4 linked regions of the Anolis sagrei genome follow. The main gene of each other region encodes a partner of the protein of the gene in region 3 in a complex. Links are inferred from orthologs where the notes say so. Each region holds a gene or a part of one and is shown on either strand. Other genes may lie near its edges.

Evidence for each region.
Region 1: MED1 (region 3) and MED7 share a complex: the UniProt entries of both Homo sapiens proteins name them as parts of the mediator complex. The link is inferred for Anolis sagrei from reciprocal best matches to the Homo sapiens genes MED1 and MED7.
Region 2: MED1 (region 3) and MED8 share a complex: the UniProt entries of both Homo sapiens proteins name them as parts of the mediator complex. The link is inferred for Anolis sagrei from reciprocal best matches to the Homo sapiens genes MED1 and MED8.
Region 4: MED1 (region 3) and MED21 share a complex: the UniProt entries of both Homo sapiens proteins name them as parts of the mediator complex. The link is inferred for Anolis sagrei from reciprocal best matches to the Homo sapiens genes MED1 and MED21.

The regions. Positions count from the first base shown.
Region 1 is NC_090022.1:80,580,709-80,587,570, forward strand, and holds the start of MED7 (mediator of RNA polymerase II transcription subunit 7), read left to right. Parts: upstream 1-3,852; 5' UTR 3,853-4,050; intron 4,051-6,862. UniProt on the Homo sapiens protein: Component of the Mediator complex, a coactivator involved in the regulated transcription of nearly all RNA polymerase II-dependent genes.
Region 2 is NC_090024.1:182,943,196-182,950,768, forward strand, and holds the start of MED8 (mediator of RNA polymerase II transcription subunit 8), read left to right. Parts: upstream 1-4,574; coding exon 4,575-4,697; intron 4,698-7,573. Other genes in the region: KICSTOR complex protein SZT2, read right to left, coding at 4,547-4,594. UniProt on the Homo sapiens protein: Component of the Mediator complex, a coactivator involved in the regulated transcription of nearly all RNA polymerase II-dependent genes.
Region 3 is NC_090026.1:43,431,886-43,438,943, reverse strand, and holds the start of MED1 (mediator of RNA polymerase II transcription subunit 1), read right to left. Parts: upstream 3,027-7,058; 5' UTR 2,869-3,026; coding exon 2,841-2,868; intron 1-2,840. UniProt on the Homo sapiens protein: Component of the Mediator complex, a coactivator involved in the regulated transcription of nearly all RNA polymerase II-dependent genes.
Region 4 is NC_090025.1:91,890,488-91,897,480, reverse strand, and holds the start of MED21 (mediator of RNA polymerase II transcription subunit 21), read right to left. Parts: upstream 3,006-6,993; 5' UTR 2,941-3,005; coding exon 2,899-2,940; intron 163-2,898; coding exon 48-162; intron 1-47. UniProt on the Homo sapiens protein: Component of the Mediator complex, a coactivator involved in the regulated transcription of nearly all RNA polymerase II-dependent genes.

The sequences.
Region 1 (6,862 bases), on a different chromosome or scaffold from region 3:
GGGCCTGTCAATTGTTTCATGCATAGAGGTTTTGCACTTTTTCATCTGAAAGGGGATTTTCAGTGTATTGTCGAAGGCTTTCATGGCTGGAATCCCTGGTTGTTGTAAGTTTTTCGGGCTGTATAGCCATGTTCTAGAAGCATTCTCTCCTGACGTTTCACCTGCAACTATGGCAGGCTTCCTCACAACCTCTGAGGATGCCTGCCATAGTTGCAGGTGAAACGTCAGGAGAGAATGCTTCTAGAACATGGCTAGACTGCCTCAAAAACTTACAACAATACAGAGATTTCCGGTGTTTGTCACCAATTTCCTTTCACAAAACCAAGGGCCCTTCCACACAGCCATACAACCCAGAATATCAAGGCAGATAATTCACAATATCTTATTTAAAGTGGAATATCTGAGTCCACACTGCCATATAATCCAGTTCAGTGTGGAAGGGGGCCAAGAGTCGACCACGGTATCCTTCTGGGACACCTCGCAGGGATGGGTCTTGGAGGAACTGTTTTGCAGTGGCTCCGGTCATTCCTGGAGGGTCGATCTCAGAAGGTGTTGTTGGGGGACACCTGTTCAACCCCACAACCATTGTCTTGTGGGGTTCCTCAGGGCTCAATATTGTCTCCCATGTTGTTTAACATCTACATGAAGCCGCTGGGGGAGATCATCCGGAGTTTCGGGGTACGGTGTCATCTGTACGCGGATGATGTCCAACTCTGTCACTCCTTTCCACCTGCTACTAAGGAGGCTGTCCAGGTCCTGAACCGGTGCTTGGCCGCTGTGACGGTCTGGATGAGGGCGAACAAATTGAAATTGAATCCAGACAAGACAGAGGTACTCCTGGTCAGTCGCAAGGCCGAACAGGGCATAGGGTTACAGCCTGTGTTGGATGGGGCCGCACTCCCCCTGAAGACGCAGGTTTGCAGCTTGGGTGTGATCCTGGACTCATCGCTGAGCCTGGAACCCCAGGTTTCGGCGGTGACCAGGGGAGCATTTGCACAGCTAAAGCTTGTGCGCCAGCTGCGCCCGTACCTTGGGAAGTCTGACTTGGCCACGGTAGTCCACGCTCTGGTTACATCCCGTGTAGACTACTGCAACGCTCTCTACGTGGGGTTGCCTTTGAAGACAGCTCGGAAGCTCCAACTAGTCCAACGCTCGGCAGCCATGATTTTAACAGGAGCGGAGCGCAGGGAGCATACAACCCCCCTGTTGCGCCAACTCCACTGGCTACCGATCTGCTACCGGGCTGAATTCAAAGTGCTGGCGTTGGCCTTTAAAGCCCTAAACGGTTCCGGCCCAAGCTACCTATCTGACCGCATCTCTGCCTATGAACCCACCAGGACTTTGAGATCTTCCGGGGAGACCCTGCTCTCAATCCCGCCTGCTTCTCAAGCTCGGCTGGCGGGGACGAGAGATAGGGCCTTCTCGGTGGTGGCTCCTCAGCTGTGGAACGCCCTTCCTACGGACATTAGACTAGCACCATCTCTAATGGTATTCCGCAAAAAGGTGAAGACCTGGATGTTTGTGCAGGCGTTTGAGTAATTTAGTGCAATCTGGTAATGGAACATAGGAATGGAACAATGGACGACGAACCTGGACTACGCTTGGATGATGAGAAGATTGGGTACGGTTGTTTTTTGTAATAATTGTGCATTGTAATTGCTTATTGTTAATTTATGGATAATGTGTTAAGTCAATTGTTATATGTTGTATGGAACCACTGCTGTTTCTACTGTTTTTACTGTTTGTGAACCGCTGTGAGTCGCCTTCGGGCTTGAGATACAGCGGTATATAAGTAAAGTAAGTAAATAAATAATAATAATAAGAGTCAGATCACTGACAAAGCAGGGAAAACTCACAACCCAATATAAGCTCACTGCTGCTCTCTGCTGCCATAAGAGAGGCATAACAGGAAAAAATATTACTGTACTTTGCAGTAACAAGGCCTTCCTTTCAAAGTATAAATAATATGTAGCATTATAAATTTCCTTGTTCAGGATCTAACTAACTAGTACTAGTACACTACTATAGATTGTCTATGCAATTTAGTCTTCATGCTGTGTTAGAAACAACAGAAAATATCTTCTGATTTTCTATATAGAAATGGGGTGATATAAAGAAAACGAATATTGCATAAAATATAAAGGAGAGAGGTGCATTATGATCTGGCAAGCTTTCATACTAATGTATATTGTTTTAAAATGCATATCTTATGTTTATGGGTTGCTTTATATATGTGTGCTTTGATTGCTGTTGTTTTGTACTGTATTTAGTATGTTGGAAGCTGCTTTGGTAGCTTCCTTCGTGGGAGAAAAGTGGACTATAAAGAAAGCACCATTAAAGCCTTGGCAGACCACGCAAAAAGAATCTGCGAACCCCACCTCCACCAAGATGAACTGAACCACCTCAACTGGGCTCTACAGGCCAATGGATACTCCACCTCAGACACCAGAAGAGCTGCAAGACCAAGAACAAGCCACGAGAGTCAAGATGAAGATCCACCCAGAGGAAAAGTGTTCCTGCCATACATCAAGGGAACCACTGACCGCATAGGGAAGCTGATGAGGAAACACAACATACAAACAATCTACAAACCCACCAAGAAAATCCAACAAATGCTACGTTCAGCAAAGGACAAGAGGGATCCTCTCACCTCTGCAGGAGTCTACAGTATACCATGCAGCTGTGGACAAGTCTACATAGGGACCACCAAACGCAGCGCCCAAACAAGAATCCAAGAACATGAAAGGCACTGCAGACTACTCCAACCAGAGAAATCAGCCATAGCAGAGCACCTGATGAACCAGCCTGGACACAGCATATTATTTGAGAACACAGAAATGCTGGACCACTCTCACAACCACCATGTCAGACTACACAGAGAAGCCATTGAAATCCACAAGCATGTGGACAATTTCAACAGAAAGGAGGAAACCATGAAAATGAACAAAATCTGGCTGCCAGTATTAAAAAACTCTAAAATTACAACAGCAAAACAACAGAGGGGAAACAATCAGGCACATCTAATCACCTCTCAACAAAATATTGCCCCAGGCACTGCCAGGCCATCAAATGCTAATCAAGGTGGTCAGTTGAAACATTCACACCTAGCTCCAACAGACAAAAGTTCTTTGTCCCACCCTGGTCATTCCACAGATATATAAACCCCTTTTTCCTAGTTCCAATAGACCTCACTACCTCTGAGGATGCTTGCCATAGATGCAGGCGAAACGTCAGGAGAGAATGCCTTTAGACCATGGCCATATAGCCCCAAAAAACCTACAACAACCCAGCGATTTATTGTCGGGTTGCTGTGAGTTTTCCAGCCTGTCTGGCCATGTTCCAGAAGCATTCACTCCTGATGTTTCGCCCACATCTATGCCAGACATCCTCAGAGGTTCTGAGGTTAGTTGGAAACTAGGTAGGTGAGGTTTATATATCTGTGGAATAATGTCCAGGGTGGGAGAAAGAACTCTTGTCTGTTTGAGGCAATTGGCCAGCTTGATTAGCTTGATTAGCTTCAAAGCCTGGCTGTTTTCTGCCTGAATTCTTGTCTGCTTGAGGCCGTTAGGAATTGTGGGAGTTGAAGTCCAAAACACCTGGAGGGCTCAAGTTTGCCATACCATACCATATGTGTATGTATTTACACGTGGGGGGAAGGGGAGGGAATCATACTCCAGAGCTCCTGATTGACGTCAGGAGCAGCCAATCAGAGAGAAGATCCTTTTCTTCCCCTGCTTCAGGGCAAATGCTCGCTCGCTTCCCTCCATCTTTGCCTCCGCGCGGCTCTCGCTGACGCCATCCCACGTCAGCCAATAGGAAAATTAGATGGGGGAGGGGCTGTTTGCCGGATGTACGTCACCAGTTGGCGAGGGAAAGGGAGGAAGGAGAGCGCAGGCGTAGGAAGCGGGGCTTCCGGTGGGAGCGCGGGTGTTTGGTGCTCTTGTTCCGTGGGGAAGCCGAAGAGAGGAGAGGGAAGCCGGCCTCGTCCGAATTGGGAGCCCGGGGCGAGCGGAGAGCTCCTCCGCGGGTGGGTGTCGCTGCCCGTCAAGGGTCTGTAAGGCTCATCCGTTTGGGATACGTCTAACACAAGCCTGGGCAAACTTGGGCCCTCCAGGGTGTTTTGGACTCCAGCTCCCACCATTCCTAACAGCCTCAGGCCCCTTCTGAGGCTGTTAGGAATGAGGCTGTTAGGAATGGTGGGAGTTGGAGTCCAAAACCCTGGAGGGCCCAAGTTTGCCCAGGCCTGGTCTGCCACATACATTTCATGCAGTCTGACACCACTTTAACTGCCTTAGTTCAGTGCTATCGAATCCAGGGTGTTGCAGTTTGTTGAGGCACCAGAGGAGGCTAAAGACCTTATGAATCCACATCTCCCATAGCACTGAGCCATTGAAGATAGGGCCCTTCTAGACAGGCTCAATATCTCAGGATCTGATCCCAGGTATTCTGTTTATCCCAGATTATCTGGCAGTGCGGACTTATATAATCCAATACAGGGAGCATACCACCCCCCTGCTGCGTCAGCTCCACTGGCTGCCGGTCCACCTCCGAGCACAATTCAAAGTGCTGGTCTTGGCCTATAAAACCCTATACGGCTCCAGCCCAGCTTACTTATCCAAACGTATCTCTCTCTACGTTCCACCTCATAATTTAAGATCTTCTGGGGAGGCCCTGCTCTCGGTCCCACCAGCGTCTCAAACATGTCTGGTGGGAACAAGGGACAGGGCCTTCTCAGTGGTGACCCCCCGCTTATGGAATTCGCTCCCCAGCAAGATTAGATCGGCGCCCTCCCTCCTTACTTTTAGGGAAAAAACTAAATACGTGGTTTTGGAACCAGGCGTTTGGCTAGTGGGCACAACAGCACTTTAGGCACTGAACTCAGACAATAGGATTGTTTGAAAATTGGAAATGGCTTTATGACCTGTGATTCTGTGATATGTCCTATGTGGTTATGCAATTTTAACTAATATCACTACTTAATTGTTATGTAATGGATTTCATATTGCTGTTTTATATTGTTGTTTTGATACTGTTGGCATTGAATAGTTGCCTGTGTTAGCCGCCCTGAGTCCCCCCTCGGGGGTGAGAAAGGCGGGGTAGAAATGGTCTAAATAAATAATAAATTTAAAGCAGAAAACCTGGGATAATGGGCCTGTCTGGAAGGGCCCTGGGACAACTGTCACTGTCTGGAGCCTGGAGGATGGCAAAGGAGGAGGGGAGGGAGGCCTTGAACCAATCTTGCAAAAAACAAAAACAGCCCGGTGATGGGGTTGCATTAGGGTCGCCAAAAGTTAGAAAGTACTTGAAGGCATACAAAAACAGTGTTTCTCAGGCTAAAGCTCCCTTTATTATTATTATTATTATTATTATTGACACAAAAGCACAGTATGTCACAGCAAACGAGATCTATATGCTGGATTTCGTATCACAAAATCACAAGTCGAACGCTTCCCAAGCGTCTAGGACTGTGTGATGTATTTTCGAATGATGCGCACAGATCCAAGTAAGGTGGCCTATTGCAATTGACAGATCGTGATTTTGTCAATGTTTATTGTTTCCAAATTTCGGCTGAGATCTTTTGGCACAGCACCCAGTGCTCCAATGACTACTGGGACCACCTGTACTGGTTTATGCCAGAGCCTTTGCAGTTTGGTTTTGAGGTCTTGATAGCGGCTGAGTTTTTCCTCAATGCGACTGTCACCCGGTATGGCGACGTCAATAATCCAGACTTTTTTCTTTCCCACAATCATGATGTCTGGTGTATTGTGTTCCAAAACTTTGTCAGTCTGGATTCGAAAGTCCCACAGTATTTTTGCAGGTTCATTTTCCACGACCTTTGCGGGTTTATGATCCCACCAATTCTTTGCTGCTGGCAGGTGGTACTTGTGACATAAGTTCCAGTGAATCATCTGAGCCACAGAGTTGTGTCTTTGTAGTCCGTCTGTGCAATTTTCTTGCAACAGCTGAGGAGATATTATCATTATCATTATTATTATTATTATTATTATTGCATTTATATTTATACCATGCTTTTTCTCTCCACAAGGAGACTCAAAGCAGCTCACGTTGGAAATGTGTTGCCTTGCCATCCTTTCAAAAACTGCAGATGGAGGGGCTCTGCTCACTTAGTGGTGGTCTCAGTGTTGTCATGTATAATGTTTTTGGCGTATTTTTATAAGTTATCCTTTTTATTCATTTATATCCATCTTTCATGGGTCTCAAGGCAGCTAACAATATATATAAGGGTACAAAAACAATTAAGCAATTTATAAACTTAAAGCATTAAAATATTAAAATGCCTTTGTGTCTGTCTGTGCCTTTGGGTCACCTGTTGACTTATGAATTTCATAGAATTTTCTTCTGTCAGGAATACTCTGCCAATTCCTTCCTCTGAAGTACAGGCTACTGCGCCTGGTATTTGTTGGTGGTCTCCCACCCAAGTATTGACCTGAGCTGACACTTAGCTTCAAGGATTGGAGGGGATCTGGTGCATTTGCAGTATGATAAACCCTTCAAAAAAGGCCTTAAAATACATGTTGATGTGATTGTATTTAAACTGTTTCTCCTTCCCTCACTGGAGCTAAAGTCCCAGCATGCATTATTTTGGGGAGAGCCCTTGAATACTATTGAATGCAAACCAAATTGGAGAATTCTCCCACAGAGAAGTTTCACCAATTTATAATGAGTTATTCAAAATACTTTTGTTGTGGTGATTTTTAAATTACTTTTTATTTCGTTCTTTTGTGTTCTGCTTAATTGTATTCTAGTGTTCTAACCTTTAAAAATACATTTCTCTTAATTTGTATTATAAGTTTCATTTTAATTTTAGTATAACATGTATTTATAATACAGATAGAAACGA
Region 2 (7,573 bases), on a different chromosome or scaffold from region 3:
AATGAGACATACAAAAAGCTACCTTGAATTGAGCATGCTGTCACCTGTAAAGAGGATAAGTATTATGTGCAAACGTCCCTAACGAATAACACTATATATACATTCCTTACAGACATCTCACCCAAAGAAGTAGAACTTTTACTGCAAAGACAAAGCCTAGCGTATGTGGTACAGCTTTTGTAGTGACAAGGAGGGTAAAAATTTGCAATTGAAAAAAAAATGCCCCAATATGCCCCCCAAATGATCTCTGGGGCCCCAGGAAGGCCTCAAAATAAGTTGGGAATGTCCTCATAACCCTAAAGGGTATTTAGGGCCAAACATTTAATGTTTTTGCATCATCAGCAGAAAAATGTGTGTCTATGGCTCCTCCACTTCCTGAGAGGTTGGCTAATGTGTTCCCAGAGTCTGCCATAGTTGCACACCCTTATTTTTACAGAGACGGTAGCTTCATAAAGCTGCACACCAACCAATCTCAAGCAGGTTCTTATTCACCAAAATCGTTTTGTCTTGTTGTTCAACAGGCAACTTGCCTGTAACTCATGGGCCTCCTGCAAACTCTTGGGAAAGATGGGTCTGGTTGAAAACTGACGAGGCTTGTTTATTTGCTTTTTGGTTTAGATAAGGATTCACTCTGTTTTCATTTGGTATCTCTTATCCAAAATACTTGGAACCAGAGCATACTTGGAACCCTTTGTATCCACAGAATCAAACATCCATGCCTTGAAAATATTTCCCACAAAAAAAAATCCACAAAGCAAACCTTAATTTTACCATATTATATAAGGGACATCATTTAACTATGTTATTGTACATGATGAGGTTTGAGAATCAATGGATTTTGGTATCAACAGGGATCCTGGAAACAAACTCTGGCAGATACCAAGGCCCACAGTAATTGTATATACATAATAATTAAACTTCTTGGAGTGCAACCATGTAACCCAAGTCCAAACATGAAATTCACAAATGCTTCATATACACATCATAAAGCATAATCTGAAGGTAATTTTACACCTCAGTGTCACCAAACTCTAGTCCTCCAGTTGTTTTGGCCTTCACCCTGCAGAATTCCTGATGATTGATCAAGGCAGCCGAGGCTTCTGGGAGGTGAAGTCCAAAACTTCTGGAGGAAAACAGCTTGGGGATCACTGTTATACACAAACTTTTATATCACTTTGTGCATGAAGCTACTTTTATATACATTGAATTATCAAAGCTAAAGGTATCACTCTATCAGCCATCCACGTGGGCCATTAGGGGCCATTTCAGGTTTCAGTCACTCAACCCGAACTCAAGTCTGGCACCAGGATCCCCCATTCGTTGCAAACACTCTTTTCCACAAAAAAAAGGAGGGGTCACAATCTTTGCAAAGATGAGATGGATGGCCATCTGTTGGGGGTGCTTTGAATGCAATTTTCCCACTTCTTGGCAGGGAGTTGGACTGGATGGCCCACAAGGTCTTTTCCAACTCTATGATTCTATGATCAGCTTCCAAATGGAGCTTCATAACCTTTGCAAAAGCTCTCATCCAAAAGGGAGATCTCATACATTGTACGAAACCTCCTCTCCAAAACGGGGGTCCCACATCCCTTGCAAAATCTCCCCTCAAACCATGGTTGTGCAACTGATCCAGCAAAGCCAAAAGTGTCACTCCCTCAGCTACCTACATGGGCCATTTCAGAATGTTGGATTTGGGATACTCAACCCATACCCAGGTCTGTCACTTGGGTCCCATGTTCTTTGCAAAGAGCTCCTCTCCAAACCAAGGGTCCCACATGCTTAGAAAGAGCTCCCCTTAAAAATGGTGGTCCCCTCAAATCATATGTGTGCAATTGAACCAATGGGAATGGTGTGTGTGTTGTCTTGGGGGGGGGGGTGTGTAGTTTTTAAATGTAGCTTTACTGTACTTCAATTCTGATTATTAACAATAAAGAAAAAGTTAATTTTTCCAATATTAATATTTATATTCCCATGAATTTGCTCTGTTTGTCTCATATTATGTTTGCTGTTAGCCACTATGTGACCCTATATCTAGAGAAAGGCCGGATAAAAACAAAGTAAATAAATAAGCAAATAGAACAAAGGTGTTATTATATCAGTAAACCACATTGACCATTTTGAAGTATTGTGTACTGGGGATACTCAACCTGCACTCAGGTCTGGCACTAGGGCCCCACACCTTTTACAAGAGCTCCCCGCCAAAACAGGGGTTTCATGCCTTTTACAAAACTTTCACTCCAAAATGGGGACCCCACACTCTTTGCAAGAGCTCTCCTCAAACCATGTTTGTGTGATTGAACCAACAAAGCCAAAGGTGTTGTTCTCTCAATTACCAACATGGATCAGATTACGGTTACTCAATCTTTTCTGCAGTCTGGCACCCCTTCCAGAACTTCCCACAAACCAAGGTTCATGTGATTAAACCAACAAAGCCGAAGATGTCACTATAGGCATCTATACCAGGCAGGGGCAAACTCAGGCCCTTCAGGTGTTTTGGCTGTTAGGAATTGTGGGAGCTGAAGTCCAAAACACCGGGGGGGGGGGGCAAAGTTTGCCCATGCCTGATCTATATTGTAGAATTAATGCAGCTGGACACCACACTTTCACTGCCATGGCTCCAGGCAAAGGAGTCAAGGGAGTTGCGATTTGGTGAAGCACCAGCACTCTTGGCTGGAGCCACGGTAGTGCAATAGCTTAAACCCCTTGTGCTGGTTGAACTGCTGCCCTAAAGGTCAGTGGTTTAAAGGTTCAAATCCCTTTTTTTTGGGTTGTGTCAGAAGTGACTTGAGAAACTGCAAGTCGCTTCTGGTGTGAGAGAATTAGCCATAGAATCATAGAGTTGGAAGAGACCTCATGGGCCATCCAGTCCACCCCCTGCCAAGAAGCAGGAATATTGCATTCAAATCACCCCTGACAGATGACCATCCAGCCTCTGTTTAAAAGCCTCCAAAGAAGGAGCCTCCACCACACTCCGGGGCAGAGAGTTCCACTGCTGAACAGCTCTCATAGTCAGGAAGTTTTTCCACATGTTCAGATGGAATTTCCTTTCCATCTGCAAGGACGTTGCCCAGGGAAGGCCCGGATGTTTTTACCATCCTTATGAGAGGCTTCTCTCATGTCCCCGCATGAGGAGCTGGAGCTGATAGAGGGAGTTCATCCACACTCTCCTTTGATTTGAAACTGCGACCTGTTGGTCTTTGGTCCTACCGGCACAGGAGTTTAACCCACTGAGCCCCAGGGGGCTCCAGTGAGATGGGGTGATCTCCCGCCTGTCAGGTCCAGTTTCCCATGCGGGGACATGAGAGAAGCCTCCCACAGGATGATAACCCATCTAGGAGCCCCCGGTGGCGCAGTGGGTTAAACCCCTGTGCCAACAGGACTGAAGACTGACAGGTCACAGGTTCGAATCCGGGGAGAGGTGGATGAGCACCCTCTATCAGCTCCAGCTTTCCATGCGGGGACATGAGAGAAGCTTCCCACAAGGATGGCAAAACATCAAAACATCCAGGCGTCCCCTGGGCAACGTCCTTGCAGACGGCCAATTCTCTCATACCAGAAGTGACTTGCAGTTTCTCAAGTTGCTCCTGACACAACAAAAAACAAACAAACAAATAACCCATCTAGGCATCCCCTGGGCAATGTCTCTGCTGACAGCCAATTCTCTCACATCAGAAGCAACTTGCAGTTTCTCAAGTCGCTTCTGACATGATTTAAAAAAGAGCATGTTTTGGCAGAGAAGGCAAAGACCTTGTAAAACTACACCTCCCATGATTCCATAGCATTGAGCCCTGGCTGTTAGAAGTACGGTTAGAAGTACATTGTGTACGGTTGTTTTTTGTAATAATTGTGCATTGTAATTGCTTATTGGTAATTTATGGATAATGTGTTAAGTCAATTGTTATATGTTGTATGGAACCACTGCTGTTTCTACTGTTTCTACTGTTTGTGAACCGCTGTGAGTCGCCTTCAGGCTTGAGATACAGCGGTATATAAGCAAAGTAAATAAATAAATAAATAAATAAATAATACAAGTGTTGTCAAACTGCATTAAGTCTAGAGTGTGTGCACCCTTTCTTCTGGAGGATATTGGCTGTGGGATACTCAACCTGCCTTCAGGCGAGGCTCTGGAGTCCCACACTCTTGGCAAGGGCTCCCCTCTTTATTTTTCCACAAAGAGGAGACTCGTCTACTAAAGTTATCACACTCGAGCTGAAGGAGTAGGCAAAGAGTCTGCCTCCCGTTTGGAAATCCCGCGGTTGCCTCCTGCAGAATTCTGGGGCTCGTAGTTTAGGGAAGAGCCTCAGACAGAGAGACCCTGGCTCTCACTCAACTACAGGCCCCAGAATCCTGCAGGAGGCAGCCACAGGGTTTCAGGTGGGAGGCAGACTCTTTGCCCACTCTTTCAACCAGCTCGCCAGGACTGGGAACCACCCTTCACACACGTGTCTGGCTGCACGTGTGTATGCACACCCTGCAAGGCCTGCAAAGCTTCCCTGCCGCCTCCCACCCATTTCGCCCCGAGCGGCGGCAGGGCAAAGAAGAGTACCTCCGCGTCGGGTCTCTCTGAAGCCGCCATGGCTGGCGCCGCCCTCATCCGGGACCTTCGACCTCCTGAAGTCCCGACCCGGAAGAGGAAACAGCCCTGCAAAGGAACTCCCCCCAGGCGCGGGAGGGTTTATATCACCGTCGCCATGCAGGTGAGGCGGGAGCGGAGGCTGGGTTGAGGCTCTTAAGGGAGTGGGGTTGTGCCTGCGTGCATCCACATTGTAGAATTAATGCAGTTCGACACCACTTACAATGTAGTCCTGGGAGTTATAGTGTGTTCACACATCAGCACTCTTTGCCAGAGAGGTGTAAGGCTATGGAATTTGTTGGGAATTTTACCAAGTTTTTCGTCTTCTCTGCTGAAGACTGATGGTGTCTCACCAAACTGTCACTCCCATGACAGCTAAAGTGGACTCAAACTGCACTAATGCTACAGTGTAGGCGCACCCCCCTTTCTCTGATGGTTTAACTATTGGATAATCACAGGTCACATAACCGAATGGAGGATTTTGACCTTTTTTTCATATCAAGAATGATTTGAGAAACTACAAGTCGCTTCTGGTGTGAGAGAATTGGCCATCTGCAAGGATGTTGCTCGGGGACGCCTGGATGTTTTACCATCCTTGTGAGAGGCTTCTCTCATGTCCCCGCATGAAAAGGTGGGAGCTCACCCCTCTTCCTGGATTTGAACCGTCAACCTTTCGGTCAGCAGTCCTGCCAACATAAGGGTTTAACACACTGCACCACTGGGGGCTCTGATTATGACCAATTGGGAAAACCATAAGCTTTATATCTTTTAAGAAAAGACATTGTATCTATGTGTATTTATACTTTGCAATTCAGCTGCTAGACTGATTTCCAGGTGACTCTGAACTATTAGCAACAGAGAATATGCCAATACACAATATATATATTTAGCAGATCTTCAAAGGTGTTGTTTAGTGTTCAAAAGACATCTACTCCCATAAATATCTTGTTTCTATTCCATTCTCTCAGGAGACAAAAATCAAGTAGATTTCTTTAAAATAACATATTTGTTTTACTCACAACCTCATGTATTTAAATATACAGACATGTTTCTTGTTTGTTTAAACTAAAACATTTCAGTTTGTGTCTTTAACTTTCAGTCTTTATCAGTCACTTCAACACTATACAGCTCTGTACAACTCTCCTTTATAACGGTCAACTTCCAACTGTCATCTTCAATGGTCATTCCTCAACTGTCATCTTTTAACTGTGTTCCAAACAGTCCCTGATCTGGTCACATTGTCCACAGCCCCTCCCACAACCTCAAGGACATAGAGTTAGGAAAAAACTGCATACCAAAAACACATAATAATAATAATAATAATAATAATAATAACTACTCCTACTCCTACTACTAGGGAAGTGTTGGATGTGTGATCCAGCACAACAGAGTGATCTTGTTTGCTGTGTACTAATCTTTTTGTGTTTCAAATAATAATAATAATAATAATAATGAAACTGAAATCCAGTCAGAATCTTCAGGACTGACATCAGTATGGAGTTCAGCCTAGACAAATGTGCCGCAATGGCATTAAACAAAGGGAGAATTACTCACAGCAAGGGTATAGAGATGCCAAACGGACAGACTATAAAATGCAATCAGCCTGAAGCCTATAAATATCTGGGCATACTACAGTTGGACAATATCAAGCATGGGCATGTGAAAAATGTGGTCAGCAAAAAATACGTCCAAAGGGTCAGAAAAGTTTTGAAGAGCAAATTAAATGGTGGAAATACAATCAAGGCTATCAACACCTGGGCCATCCCCGTCATCAGATACACTGCTGGAATTGTGAACTGGACACACTCAAAGTTGGATGATCTAGACAGAAAAACAAGAAAACTGCTGACAGTCCACTACTCATTACACCCACGTAATGATGTCGACAGATTTTACCTGCCCAGAAAATCAGGAGGCAGAGGGCTTCTGCAAGTGAAACAAACAGCAGAAGAAGAGAAACATACACTGGCAGATTATGTGAAAGGCAATCAAGAACCAACATTGATGGAAGTCAATGGTAGAAAACTGCTTCAAGTGCAAAAGACAATGAGTGAATACCGCAAAAATACAAGGCAGAGCAGAAGGTAAAACTGGCAAAAGAAGGCTCTCCATGGACAGTTCCTGAGAAAAATTGAGAACCAAATTGACAAAGAAAAAACATGGATGTGGCTTACAAATGGAACTTTGAAAAAGGAGACAGAGGGCCTGATTCTTGCAGCCCAAGAATGGGCAATTAGAACAAATGCTATCAAAGCCAGACTGAAAAGTTGATGACAGACCCCAAGTGTAGACTGGCAGACGAAACAATAGATCACATCCTCAGCTGCTGCAAGAAGATTGCACAGACAGACTACAAGCAGAGGCATAATACCATTGCTCAGATGATTCATTGGAACTTGTGCCACAAATACCATCTGCCTGCAACAAAGAACTGGTGGGATCACAAGCCTGAAAAGCTTACAAAAAATAAACACATCAAACTACTCTGGGACTTCTAAATTCAGACTGACAGAGTTTTGGAGCACAATACTCCTGACCTCACAAATGTGTTTAAAAACCAATTATGGATCGTCGATGTTGCAATCCCAGGCGGCAGCAGGATTGAAGAGAAACAACTGGAAAAACTGACACGATATAAGGATTTAAAGATTGAACTGCAAATACTCTGGCACAAGCCAGTAAAAGTGGTCCCAGTGGTGATCGGCACACTGGGTGCAGTATCTAAAGACCTTGGTCGGCACTTGAACACAATCAGCGCTGACAAAATTACCATCTGTCAGCAGCAAAAGGCCACCCTACTCATATCTGCATGCATTATTTGCCGATACACCACACAGTAGTGGTAGTAGTAGTAAGATGCCTCAGATCCTGACTGATTTAGGAAGTAAAGGAGGGACAGCTCTGGTTAGTACTTGGATAGGAAAGTGCAAATGAATACTGGGTGCTGAGGGCTATATTTTCAGATGAAGTAATTGGCAGACCTCCCTGTGAGTATTCCTT
Region 3 (7,058 bases):
TGTGGTTTTGACTTCTGATTTGATTTAAATGTTCTAAGAATCTCTAGACCCTCCAATGTGACTCTGTGGTCAACTTCTTCCAATCATGGTGGAGGACCAAGCAATTTTTATACATTAAGATCTCTAGAAATTTTTGGGTTCCCTAACCCAATTGTATGATTACCTTCCAACAGAAGTTGCCCATAGAGTCATGTTGGAACACCTAGAAATTTCTAGAGGTGTTATCTGAAATAAACACAATTTCTTTATTTGCGCTTTTTTACTTTCATTGTAGTCCTGTGCCGCTTTCTGGGCAGAGCATGCTGAACTCACTGGTATAGCCTATGGATGTTTAGAAAAGCATGTTGATTGTTTGCTTGCTCACACCCCTTCTTCCTAAGTCCCATGCATACTACTTTTCTCCCCAGGAACAGCATGGGTTTGCCCACTCATCTTTTTTCATCGTGACCCCTCACTATGAAGCACATAGTGAGCAAGTGTTCCTGTATAATTACATTTATTTTTATGCCACTGTTCTTTCTTAACAGAGACTCAAAGAAGCTATGAATACTCTTGAAGTCAAACAGTCAAAGCTGATGACATGCTTGTTTTCCTGACACTTTCACCATACCTGAAAACGCTGAAACTATGTGTCAAGTATCCCTTTACACTTTAACTTAAGTTTGGTTCTTTTACCTGTGCTTGGGGGAGTGAGTGATATTTCTATTCTGGTTTCTACCTGAGTGTGCCATAATCTCTGCTACCAAATATCATACAGGGTGAGGCAGCATAACTTCCAAATCATTGCAAAGTCAGCTATTCAGTCTAAAGCAGGTATGGGCAAACTTGGGTTCTCCAGGTGTTTTCAACTTCCACAATTCTTAACAGCCAGTAAGTTGCTTGGGATTTCAAGTTCAAAACATCCAGAGGGCCGAAGTTTGCCCATGGCTGGTCTAAAGGAAGGGCCTTCTAACTATTCACAGAAACTAAATTACAGTACAGTACTCATTAAGCAGAGATCTAGTATGGAACAGCATCTGCAGAGGACCAAGTCAAGGTGGATACTAAAGGGAAAGGTGGATAGATTACAAGGCCCAAGCCAGACAGGGGAGAAATTCTTGATTTTTTTTATTTACGGCATTTATATGCCGCCCTTCTCACCTCGAAGGGGACTCAGAGTGGCTTACAATATATATTTTCATACAATATATTATATTATTAGCATAGTACAATATCAGTATTATATATTACTTTATTGCACTATACCATTATATTGTAATATTATTAGTGTAAATATATAATTATAATATCATATTATTATTACTAGTATTATATTGTATTACATTATAATATTATAAATATTATATGTATATACAATATACTATATTAGATTATTAGTAAAGACAAGATGGAAACGTCTTCTGCTCCCCTCTGTCTTCGCTCTGGCCAGAGCAGCCGTTGGGTCGTTGATGCAGTCTACTGGACCGGAAGTGGTAGCAAATACAGGGTGAGGCAACATAACTTCCTTTTTTAAAATGCGCGCCATTCAGGCGGTTGAAAACGTAGAGGAGCGCTAGGGGTCTTGTTCGAGAGGCGGGAGTATAAAGTTTTGTCCTGACACAGTTCAGTCGCCATCATGCGTTGGAACAGTGAGAAGCGTGCTTTTGCTGTTGAGGCCTACTTTTTGAGCGGATTTGGGAGTGGCTGGCCTCCTCTCCAGATTTGGCCCCTTGTTTATTTATCGAGCCATCAGCAACCAGGCAATTATATTACATTTCTAACAGAACAAAGCAAACAAACAAACAGACAAAATACAAAATTTGTGAATTTGGTAGTTGATTAAATGTCCTTTGACCAGTATCTGGCCACTTGGAGTGCTTCTGGTGTTGCTGCAAGAAGGTCCTCCATTGTGCATGTGGCAGGACTCAGGTTGCATTGGCCCCTTGTGATTTTTTTTATGGGGCTTTTTGAAATCCCGTGTTTATGTGAACTGTCCAAGGACCCTAAAAGATTTGAAGACCAACATCCAGGAAGAAACTGCCAACATAACGCCTGCTATGCTGGTAAGAGTCATGACAAATGCCAGAAATCGGTTTACTCAGTGTATGGAGAATGAGGGACGTCACCTGCCTAATTTGATCTTAAAAACTACGTAAAACAAAACTTTAGGTATGCGCCTACATTATATTAAAAATATTCTGATTCTTACAATGGGTTTTATTAAGTCTTGAAAAAGGGAAGTTATGCTGCCTCACTCTGTATAATGTTCACATCTACAGTTTCAGCTTTGTGGATCAATGCTACTCAGAGGACCAATTCACAAATGTGTCCATCCCTTAATGACTGACAGATGAATGCATGAACCAAGCTCCTGGGAAAAACAGGAGAGTCTTATTTGTAGTCTTATATGTGATTCAACTTCTGCTTGTACTTTTTATGACAGACAAGACATCGTATGAGGCAAAATATTGCAAAGTCAGTTGATAAAGCTTCAGTCTAAAGCAGGCATGGGCAAACTTGGGCCCTCCGGGTGTTTTGGACTTCAACTTCACAATTCCTAACCGCAGGGCGGGAGTTGAAGTCCAAAACACCCGGAGGGATTAAGTTTGCCCATGCCTGGATCATATAATTCGGTTCACGCTGCATTATATAATAGTGCAGATCAAGCCTCAAAAATCCGAGATTCCAAACACTTGTGGGGCGAACTCATTTGGGATATAAGATACTTCGCCTGTACGGCCCTGCACACCTGAGCTTTGCTCACACAAGGCTCTTTGTGGGGTTTCTGAACGCAGCCTTTATTGGGAGTGCTCCCACTTTGAGGCCTTGGTGTCACTCCCAGGCCGGCGTGACTCACTCACCCTCCGAGGCGCCCTGGGCGGCCTTCATCCTTCACCGGAGCGGCAGGCAGGGAAGGAGAGGGGCCCGGCGCCCCGCTCCGCCCTCCCTCATGCGGCGGGGAAGGAAGGCCCGTCTCCCGCTCGGAGGAGAAGACCCGAGGCGCGCGCAAGGCACCATCCCACTGGCGTCCGCGTGAGATTTCCAGCTCTCGCGGGATTTGGGAGGGGAAACCGGAGGTGGAGAGCAACAAGCGCGAGAGAAGCCGCGGCGCGTGGGAAGTCAGCCAATCTAGCGGCAGAAAGCACTTCTCGCGAGGCTTTCATTTCCACCTCCCTTGAAAAAAAAAAAATAAACAAACAAAACAGGTCACGCTCTTTCACCCATCAGGAAAACGTCCAATGCAATTCCTTCGCTTTAGACAAAGTCCAAAACACCCGGAGGACCGAAGTTTGCCCAAGCCTGGATCATATAATACAGTTCATGCTGCAATTTCCTGTACTTTACTAATAATCCAATATATTGTATATACATGTAATATATATTATAATGTAAAACAATATAATACTAATAATACAATTGGGTTGTTGTAGGTTTTTTCGGGCTATATGGCCATGTTTTAGAGGCATTCTCTCCTGACGTTTCGCCTGCATCTATGGCAAGCATCCTTAGAGGTACTGATGCTTGCCATAGATGCAGGCGAAACGTCAGGAGAGAATGCCTCTAGAACATGGCCATATAGCCCGAAAAAACCTACAACAACCCAGTGATTCTGGCCATGAAAGCCTTCGACAATACATTAATACAATATTATAATTATATATTTATATTACATGTAATATTACATGTAATATTACAATAGGTTGTTGTAGGTTTCACCTGCATCTATGGCAAGCATCCTCAGAGGTTGTGAGGTCTGTTGGAACTAGGAAAAAGGGGTTTATATATCTGTGGAATGACCAGGGTAGGACAAAGGACTCCTGTCTGCTGGAGCTAGGTGTAAATGTTTCAACTGATCACCTTGATTAGCATATAATGGCCTGACAGTGCCTGGAGCAAACCTTTGTTGAGAGGTGATTAGATGTCCTTGTTTGTTTCCTCTCCGTTGTTGTGCTGTTGTAATTTTAGAGTTTTTTTTAATACTGGTAGCCAGATTTTGTTCATTTTCATGGTTTCTCCTTTCTGTTGAAATTGTCCACATGCCTGTGTATTTCAATGGCTTCTCTGTGTAGTCTGACATCGTGATTGTGAGAGTGGTCCAGCATTTCTGTGTTCTCAAATAATATGCTGTGTCCAGGTTGGTTCATCAAGTGCTCTGCTATGGCTGACTTCGCAGGTTGAAGTATTCTGCAGTGCCTTTCATGTTACTTGATTCGTGTTTGGGAGCTGCTGCGTTTGGTGGTCCCTATGTAGACTTGTCCACAGCTGCATGGTACACGGTAGACTCCTGCAGAAGTGAAAAGATCCCTCTTGTCCTTTGCTGAACATAGCATTTGTTGGATTTTCTTGGTGGGTCTGTAGATACTTTGTAAGTTGTGTTTCCTCATCAGCTTCCCTATGCGGTCAGTGGTTCCCTTGATGTATGGCAGGAACACTTTTCCTCTGGGTGAATCTTCATCTTTACTCTTGTGGCTTGTTCTTGGTCTTGCAGCTCTTCTGATGTCTGAGGTGGAGTATCCATTGGCCTGTAGAGCCCAGTTGAGGTGGTTCAGTTCATCTTGAAGGAGGTGGGGTTCGCAGATTCCTTTTTCTTATATTACAATATAATGGTTGAGTTCTGTTTTATTGACTATTCTAAAGCTTTTGTGTCGATCATAATAAATTGTGGCAAGCTCTTGGTGGTATGGGGATACCAAATCACCTTATCTCTCTCCTGAGGAATCTGTATAATGACCAAGTAGCAACAGTAAGAACTGACCATGGAACAACAGACTGGTTCAAGATTGGGAAAGGTGTATGGCAGGGTTGTATACTCTCATCCAACCTATTCAACTTGTAGGCAGAACACATCATGCGATGTGCGGGGCTTGAGGAATGCAAGGCTGGGGTGAAAATTGCAGGAAGAAACATTAACAACCATAGATATGCAGATGATACCACTTTGATGGCCAAAAGCGAGGAGGAGCTGAGGAGACTTCTAATCAAGGTGAAAGAAGAAAGCGCAAATGCTGGGTTGCAGTTAAACATAAAAAAACCCCAAGATTATGGCAACAAGAATGATTGACAACTGGGAAACAGAGGGAGAAAACATGGAGGCAGTGACAGACTTTGTATTTTTAGGTGCAAAGATAACTGCAGAGTCTATGATTTCTACCAAGCCTGTGCAAATACTTCCGCTCTAAACACTAACAAAGATTACTGCAAAGCAGACTGCAGCCAGGAAATCAGGAGACACTTACTTTTTGGGAAGAGAGCAATGTCCAATCTCGATAAAATAGCGAAGAGTAGAGACATCCTACTGGCAACCAAGATCTGCATAGTTAAAGCAATGGTCTTCCCTTTAGTCACCTACGGATGTGAGAGCTGGATCATAGGGAAGGCTAAGCAAAGGAAGATAGATGCTTTTGAACTGTGGTGTTGGAGGAAAGTTCTGAGAGTGCCTTGGACAGTGAGAAGATCCAACCAGTCCATACTTCAGGAAATTCAGCCTTCCCTATGGTCCAGCTCTCACGTGCATAGGTGATTATGAGGAATACCATTGCTTTAACTATGCGGATCTTGGTTGCCAGTGTGATGTCTCTACTCTTCACTATTTTATCAAGATTGGACATTGCTCTCCTCCCAAGAAGTAAGCATCTCCTGATTTCCTGGCTGCAGTCTGCGTCTGCAGTTAATTTTTGCGCATAGAAATACAGTCTGCCATGACCTCGTTTTCTCCCTCTATTTTCCAGTTGTCAATCATTCTTGTTGCCATAATCTTGTTTTTTTTAATGTGTTATTGCAACCCAGCTTTTGCGCTTTCTTTTTTCACCTTGATTAGAAGTCTCCTCAGTTTCTCACTTTTTGCCATCAAAGCGGTATCATCTGCATATCTAAGTTTGTTAATGTTTCTTCCAGCCATTTTAACCCCAGCCTTGCATTCATCAAGCCCTGCACATCGCATGGTATATTCTACAGACATGTTATTACATTTTTGTGTGTACTTTTTATCATGACAGACAGGCCAATCTGTCACCACAAGAGGGAAAGCACTGCAAAGTCAGTGTTTTCCGTCTAAAGCAGGCATGGGCAAACTTGGACCCTCCGGGTATTTTGGACTTCCAATTCCCATTTTGCAACGAAACGTGGCAGCTTCCCTCTCCAACCAAGTCAGCGCCGAGCCTCTGCAATTGTCCCCATGCAGATAAAAGTTTTGTTCAAACGCTCGAACGAGTTCCCGTGAGATTTCGGCCCCGCGAGAGGTCAAACCCGTTTCGAGAAAGCGGAGGAGGTTTTCCGCTTTCCCTTCTCTTCCTGAGGGGCAGCGTCGCGAGACTCGGCTTGTGCGCCTGCGCGCCAGAAGGTAGGCAGGCAGGCAGGAAGGAGAGCAAGCTTGCGCGCGCTTGCTCTCGCGATATCTGGAGGAGCAGGTATAGAGAGAAGAGAGAGCGAGAAAGACGGAGCAGAAGAGCCCCCCGCGCGTTACTACAGGAAGCTTCGGCGAATTTTGTCCGTGTTCTCGCGAGAGTTGGCGGCTTACCTTCTCCCCTCCTCACTTTCCTCTCCCGCCCCTCCCCCCAACCTGGAAGCGGCGCCGTTTCGTGGAGGGAAGTAAGAGGGGGCGAGGAGGAGGAAAAGGAGGATGGGGGGCCCGGCGTGGGGGCCTTGCTAGGGACTCGGCCGGAGGGAGAGGCGGAGGGGGCTCCTCAGCAGGGGACTCGTGGCCCCCTCGAGGGCCCCCGGCGCCTCCGCGGCCAGCCAGGCCTCGGCACCACTCTCTCCTTTCCCTCAGAAACTTGGAAGCAGCAGCCTTGAAGGAGAAAGTGCAGCCAGCTGTGGCCTTCCTTCTCGTGAGGACTCAGGGCCTCGAGTTGGTAGCCGAGGGGGCGTTTCAGACCCTAGAGAAGCCATTATACCAATTCTTGGGGAGACCTACAGCTTAGAGGGGTCTGAAGTTGGAAGAGAAGGGGCCACTTCCAGGAACTTTCCCTCCTTTTAGACGGTTTGGAGGGATCCATCTCCAGGAGTAGTTGGGACCCATACATTGACCTTAGCATTTTGAGATTGGAATCTCCAGCTAAGGAAAGTTAGCTTCCTGTCAT
Region 4 (6,993 bases), on a different chromosome or scaffold from region 3:
CTAGATTTATACCATTCCTCTCAAATTCAACAATAAGGTTCACTTGCCTTCTGTAGGATTAGTAGGTTGATCTTTGTTTATTGCAGTTTGTATACTGCTGAACGATGCTGGTGGGGCACACTGCTGAAGTACTCCAATAGCATTACAAAACTGATCTGCAAGCTGTAAGCAATCAAATAGAATTACTTACTCGTTAGTACATCACAACAAATGCAGATGTACAATCATGCGGAAGTAAAGTTGTAGGCTTTTTTTGTATGCAAATACTGGATTGAAAAGCTATCATCATAGCCTTCTCCTATATGCCCCTTTATTAAGCATCAAGATTTTTCTAATATGGATAAAAAAAGAGAATTGGGAGGTTATAGGCTTGTTTTAGTGGAGTTCCTTGATTAATATATATATTGGTTTAAAAGTTCTTGATGGTTGAAAAAACTATCTATCAGTCTTCGAATGCAGTTCGAATGCAATGTTTCTTATAATGGTCTACTATTAGGGGAACTTGAACTAGACACAGTGTTTGAAAGGTTTGGTACCCCATGGTTTTGTGATAATATCTACACAGTGTCCAGAAAATGTATACAAAGTTTTAAAAAGCACTCAATTTCAGTTAAACACCCCCAAAATAATACAAATATCCTACTACTTTGTTGGAGAGGATATGATGAACAGGTTATCAAATGGAGGGGGAGGAAAATATCATGAATACACACATACAGTTGAACAATTTGTTACATCAAGTTTGTAAGTATCATTGGTGGCGGCCTCCTCCTCACCGCCTCTGCTGCTCCCGGCCTTGGAAGCCCCTTGGGCTCCGTTGATGGCACTGCCGGGCTGGGCTGAGGCCTCAGACCAGCCTGGCAATGCCATCAACGGTGCCCAAGGAGCATCAGAGGCCGGGAGCAGCGGAAGTGGTGAGGAGGAGGCGGCTGTCGCTGAGTGGGCAGATTTTCACTTATCGTGGCTGGCCCTGAAACGGAACACCCGCGATAAGTGAGGGAACACTGTAATTCAGTTTGAAGCAGATAATCTGTTAGGTTTTGAGACTGCTGTTTATGTATTGTTTTTTTTTTGCCTTGGCTTTTGTATTGCATTTTATTTTTTGTTAGGTTTTTGATATTGCAGTTTATGAATTATGTTTTATTTTTGCTTTGGTTTTTGTACTGTTTTCTTTTTTGCAAGCCGCCCCGAGTCCTGTTTGGAGAAGGGGTTGGATATAAATAAACACAATCATAACGATAATTATTATTATTATGTAGATGGGACCTGAATCAATTTAATTTAGGCTGCTTCTACACTGCCATATAATCCAGATTATAAAATCAGATAATTCACATTATTTGATTTGAACTGGATTAAACGTCAGTTTAGAAGGAGCCTGAGGGCCCTTCCATGCAGCCATAAAACCCAGACTATGAAGGCAGAAAATCACACAATATTTGCTTTGAACTGGGTTGCCTGAGTCCACACTGCCATATATTCCAGTTTAAAGCAAATAATCTGAATTTTATTCAGCTGTGTGAAAGGGACCCGAGTCTACACTGCTATATAATCCTGTTCAAAGCAAGTAATCTGGGAGTCCTTTTGGACCCTCTGCTGACCATGGAGGCCCAGGTCTCTGCTGTTAGCAGAACTGCCTTTTTTCATCTGCGGCAGGCTAGATGGCTGTCCCTACCTGTCTAGGGATGACCTAGCTATGGTGATCCAGGCTACAGTCATCTCAAGATTGGACTACTGTAACGCCCTCTACATTGGCCTTCCTCTGTCGATGATCCGGAAGCTCGAGTTGGTACAAAATGCAGCTGCTCGGCTTTTTGCGGGAATTCCGATGAGATGCCACACAACACCAATCTTACTGCAGCTGCATTGGTTACCAATTGAGCACCTGATCACTTTCAAAGTGATGGTACTCACCTTTAAGGCCTTGCATGGTCTAGGGCCAATGTACCTGAGGGACTGCCTCACCCCCTACCAACCCCAGAGATCCCTCTGTTCTGAGGACCAAGATCTATTGGAAGTCCCCAGTGTCAAGACCTTGCGTCTAACAGCAACCAGACACAGAGCCTTCACAGCAGTGGCACCATCACTCTGGAATACTCTGCCACCTGAAGTCCGTGCCTTGCGGGACTTACCAGCTTTCCGCAGGGCATGTAAGACATACCTGTTTTGACAGGCTTTTAATGTTTGATATTGCTGTTTTTAAATTGTTTTAAATTGTTTTAAAATTGTGTTCGATTTTAGCCTATTCTTGTAAGCCGCTCTGAGCCCCAGGGGAGTGGCGGCATATAAGTTCGAATAATAAATAAATAAATTTTACATGGTAGTGTAGAAGGGGCCATCATTTGTGTCAGCCACAAAAACAAAATTTCTGGAGTAGAGCAACTGCTTTCAAAGTACCGCACAATTAAACAAGAAATATCACTTTCAAACTAGGAACAGAAAAATTCTCAAATTTTGTGACATGGTGTAAGTATTTTGCTAAACTCATTGTGGGCCCTGTCACTCTACCTGGCTACGGCGCTCTCACTCCACTTCAGCTGCCATGGCAACATCCTGTGGAACCCCAGAGTTTTGAAGTTCAGTGAGACCCAAAGGCTTTCTGGTGAAAACGTCTAAGTTCTTCAACACTGCCTATCCAAGAATGTCATACAGTGCTGCCATAGCAGTTGAGATGGAATAACAGCTTGACAAAATGTGGTCTGAAGGAGAGTAAGAACTAAGAAAAGGGCGAGAGAGTGGCCATTTCTACTCAGGGATTTATTTAGTAGAAGCCATCCCTAGAGCAAATTGCCTTTTTTTCTCTCCTTCCAATAAAAATAAATACAACTCCAACTTTCCAGAGAAGGGGGAAGACCAATGGCCCATGCATGCATGCATGCATCCTCCTCGTCAACTCACCGAATTGACGGCGTCTTGCAGCTGAGTGAGGCGATCCGCCATCTTGGAAGCAGCGACCAACACAAAGCCACGCGAGAGCCAATGGGAAGCTCCCGGCCAATCCCGAGGAAAGGGCGGGAGGTGGCGTTGCTAAGCAACGCCGTGACGCGCTGGTCCAATCCGGAAGATTGTAAAGTATTGATTCTGTGGGTGACGAATGGGATTCTTTCAACTGCGCCCTCTGTTGGATGGGAAAAACCTCCTTCTTGCAAGGGAAAGCAGTCCCTTCAGGCCTTTCCAGTGTTTACCTTTGCCTTCCTGTGAGGCACCCAGTCTAGCACGGATTCAGACCCTGGTTTCCAGAGTCGTAGCCGAGCATTGCAACACACCCAAATACCTGGGAGTCACTCTGGATCGTGCTCTGACCTACAAGAAGCACTGCCTGAACATCAAACAAAAAGTGGGCGCTAGAAACAACATCATACGAAAGCTGACTGGCACAACCTGGGGATCACAACCAGACACAGTGAAGACATCTGCCCTTGCGCTATGCTACTCTGCTGCTGAGTATGCATGCCCAGTGTGGAACACATCTCACCACACTAAAACAGTAGATGTGGCTCTTAATGAGACATGCCGCATTATCACAGGGTGTCTGCGCCCTACACCACTGGAGAAATTACACTGCTTAGCCGGTATTGCACCACCTGACATCTGCCGGGAAGTAGCAGCCAATAGTGAAAGGACCAAGGCAGAGACATCTCCAGCTCATCCCCTGTTTGGGTATCAGCCAGCACGTCAACGACTTAAATCAAGATCTACAGAGACACTCGCTGGAACACCCCAGCAAGCGAGAGTCCAAAAGTGGCAGGCCCAAACCCAGCACCTCAATCCATGGGTGATACCAGATGAGAGACTTCCTCCTGGGCACTCAGAAGACTGGGCGACTTGGAAGGCGCTGAACAGACTGCGCTCTGGCACCACGAGATGCAGAGCCAATCTTAAGAAATGGGGCTACAAAGTGGAATCCTCGACATGTGAGTGTGGAGAAGAGCAAACCACTGACCACCTGCTGCAATGCACCCTGAGCCCTGCCACATGCACAATAGAGGACCTTCTTGCGGCAACACCAGAGGCACTCCAAGTGGCCAGATACTCGTCAAAGGACATTTAACCAAATACCAAATTTGCAAAATCTGTGTGTTTTTTTTCCTTTTTCTTTTTAATCTGTGTGTTTGTTTTGCTCTGTTAGAATTGTAATACAATGGTTGCTGATGACACGATAAATAAATAGCTGATCAGTTTGAGCTGAGCATCTCTTATCCAAATTGCTATACCCCAAAGCCCAAATTGTCTACATTTTGGGCTGAGATAGTGTAACATTGGATTGCTGATATATACAAACCTTTGGGTTGTTGTAGTTTTTTTCGGGCTATATGGCCATGGTCTAGAGGCATTCTCTCCTGATGTTTCGCCTGCATCTTTGGCAAGCATCCTCAGAAGTTGTGAGGTCTGTTGGAACTAGGCAAAAGGGTTTATATATCTGTGGAATGACCAGGGTGAGACAAAGGACTCTTGTCTGCTGGAGCTAGGTGTGAATGTTTCAACTGACCACCTTGATTAACATACAATGGCCTGACTGTGCCTGGGACAAACTTTTGCTGAGAGGTAATTAGATGTCCCTGCCTGCTTCCTCTCTGTTTTGCCTAGTTCCAACAGACCTCACCTCTGAGGATGCTTGCCATAGATGCAAAAACTAAGGCCGGGCCAAATGTAATGATTAAAAATTTAAATAATGCTGGGCATGACAGGTGAAATGGATAGTTTTTTGGAGATAGGTGCGATGTGCAGACAATCTTAAATCTCTAGTAAAGTGCTAGGAGTTTCCTATTCTGGAAAGGCACACTGGAACAGCTATGTCTTCAAGCTCTTCCTAAAGACTGCCAACATTGGGGCTTGTCTGATGTCCTTCGGGAGAGAGTGCCAGAGTCAGGGGGCCACCACGGAGAAGGCCCTGTCCCTCGTCCCCACCAATAGCGCTTGCGATGCAGGTGGAATTGTGAGCAGGGCCTCTCCAGATGATCGGAGAGATCGTGTGGGTTCATATATGGAGACGCGGTCACGCAGGTAGGCAGTTCCCAAACCGTTTAGGGCAGTTTTTCTCAACCTTCCTACTGCCGTGACCCCTTAATACAGTTCCTCATGTTGTGGTGACCCCTAACCATAAAATTATATTTGTTGCTACTTCATAACTGTAATTTTGCTACTCTTACGAATTGTAATGTAAATATCAGATATGCAGGATGCACTTTCATTCACTGGACCAAATTTGACACAAATACTCAATATGCCCAAATTTGAATCCTGGTGAGGTTGGGGGGATTGATTTTGTCATTTGGGAGTTGTAGTTGCTGGGATTTATAGTTCACCTACAATCAAAGAGCATTCTGAACTCCACCAACGATGGAATTGAACCGATCTTGGCATACAGAACTCCCATGACCAACAGAAAATACTACAAGGGTTTGGTGGGCAATGATCTTGAATTTTGGAGTTGTAGTTCACCTACACCCAGAGAGCACTGTGGACTCAAACAATGATGGATCTGGACCAAACTTGGCATGAATACTCCATATGCCCAAATGTGAACACAGATGGAATTTGGGGAAAATAGAATACTCAGTATGCCCAAATGTGAACCCTGGTGGAGTTTGGGGAAAACAGACCTTGACATTATAGAGTTGTAGTTGCTGGGATTTATAGTTCACCTACAATCAAAGAGCATTCTGAACACCACCAATGATAAAATTGGGCCAAACGTCACACACAGAACCTCCATGACCAACAGAAAATATTGTATATTCTGATGGTCTTCGGGGACCCCTCTGACACCCCCTCCCGACCCCTCCCAGGGGTCCCGACCCCCAGGTTGAGAAACACTGGTTTAGGGCTTTGTAGGTAAGCACCTGCACCTTGAATTGGGACCGGAATATGAACGGCAGCCAATGGAGTTCCTTGAACAGGAGGGTGGACCTCTCCCTGTAAGGAGCACCAGTTAACAACCTGGCCGCCGCCCGCAAATGCTTACTTTGCGTAATGGGTTGAGCCGCCCCTGCCCCCAGGCAGCAATCAGCCAGGCTTTGAAGCTGCAAGGCTACTTAAAGCTGCAAGGCTACTCAGTGCTGCAGGGTTCTGTCCTGGGCCCGGTCCTCTTCAATATCTTTATTAATGACTTAGATGAAGGGTTACAAGGCAGGATCATCAAGTTTGCAGACGACACCAAATTGGGAGGGATTGTCAATACTCCAGAGGACAGGAGCAGGATTCAAAACGATCTTGACAGATTAGAGAGATGGGCCAAAACTAACAAAATGAAATTCAACGGGGACAAATGCAAGATACTCCACTTTGGCAGGAAAAACGAAATGCAAAGAAACAGAATCCCTGGTTCGAGAGCAGTACGTGTGAAAAAGATCTTAGGGTCCTCGTGGACAACAAATTAAACATGAGCCAAAAATGTGATGTGGCGGCAAAAAAAGCCAATGGGATTTTGGCCTGCATCAATAGGAGCATAGTGTCTAGATCTAAGGAAGTAATGCTACCCCTCTATTCTGCTTTGGTTAGACCACATCTGGAATATTGTGTCCAATTCTGGGCACCACAATTCAAGAGAGATATTGACCAGCTGGAATGTGTCCAGAGGAGGGCGACTAAAATGATCAAGGGTCTGGAGAACAAGCCCTATGAGGAGTGGCTTAAGGAGCTGGGCATGTTTGGCCTGAAGAAGAGAAGGCTGAGAGGAGATATGATAGCCATGTATAAATATGTGAGAGGAAGCCATAGGGAGGAGGGAGCAAGCTTGATTTCTGCTTCCCTGGAGACTAGGACACGAAACAATGGCTTCAAACTACAAGAGAGGAGATCCATCTGAACATGAGGAAGAACTTCTTGACTGTGAGAGCTGTTCAGCAGTGGAACTCTCTGAGTGTGGTGGAGGCTCCTTCTTTGGAAGCTATTAAACAGAGGCTGGATGACCATCTGTCAGGGGTGATTTGAATGCAATATTCCTGCTTCTTGGCAGGGGGTTGGACTGGATGGCCCATGAGGTCTCTTCCA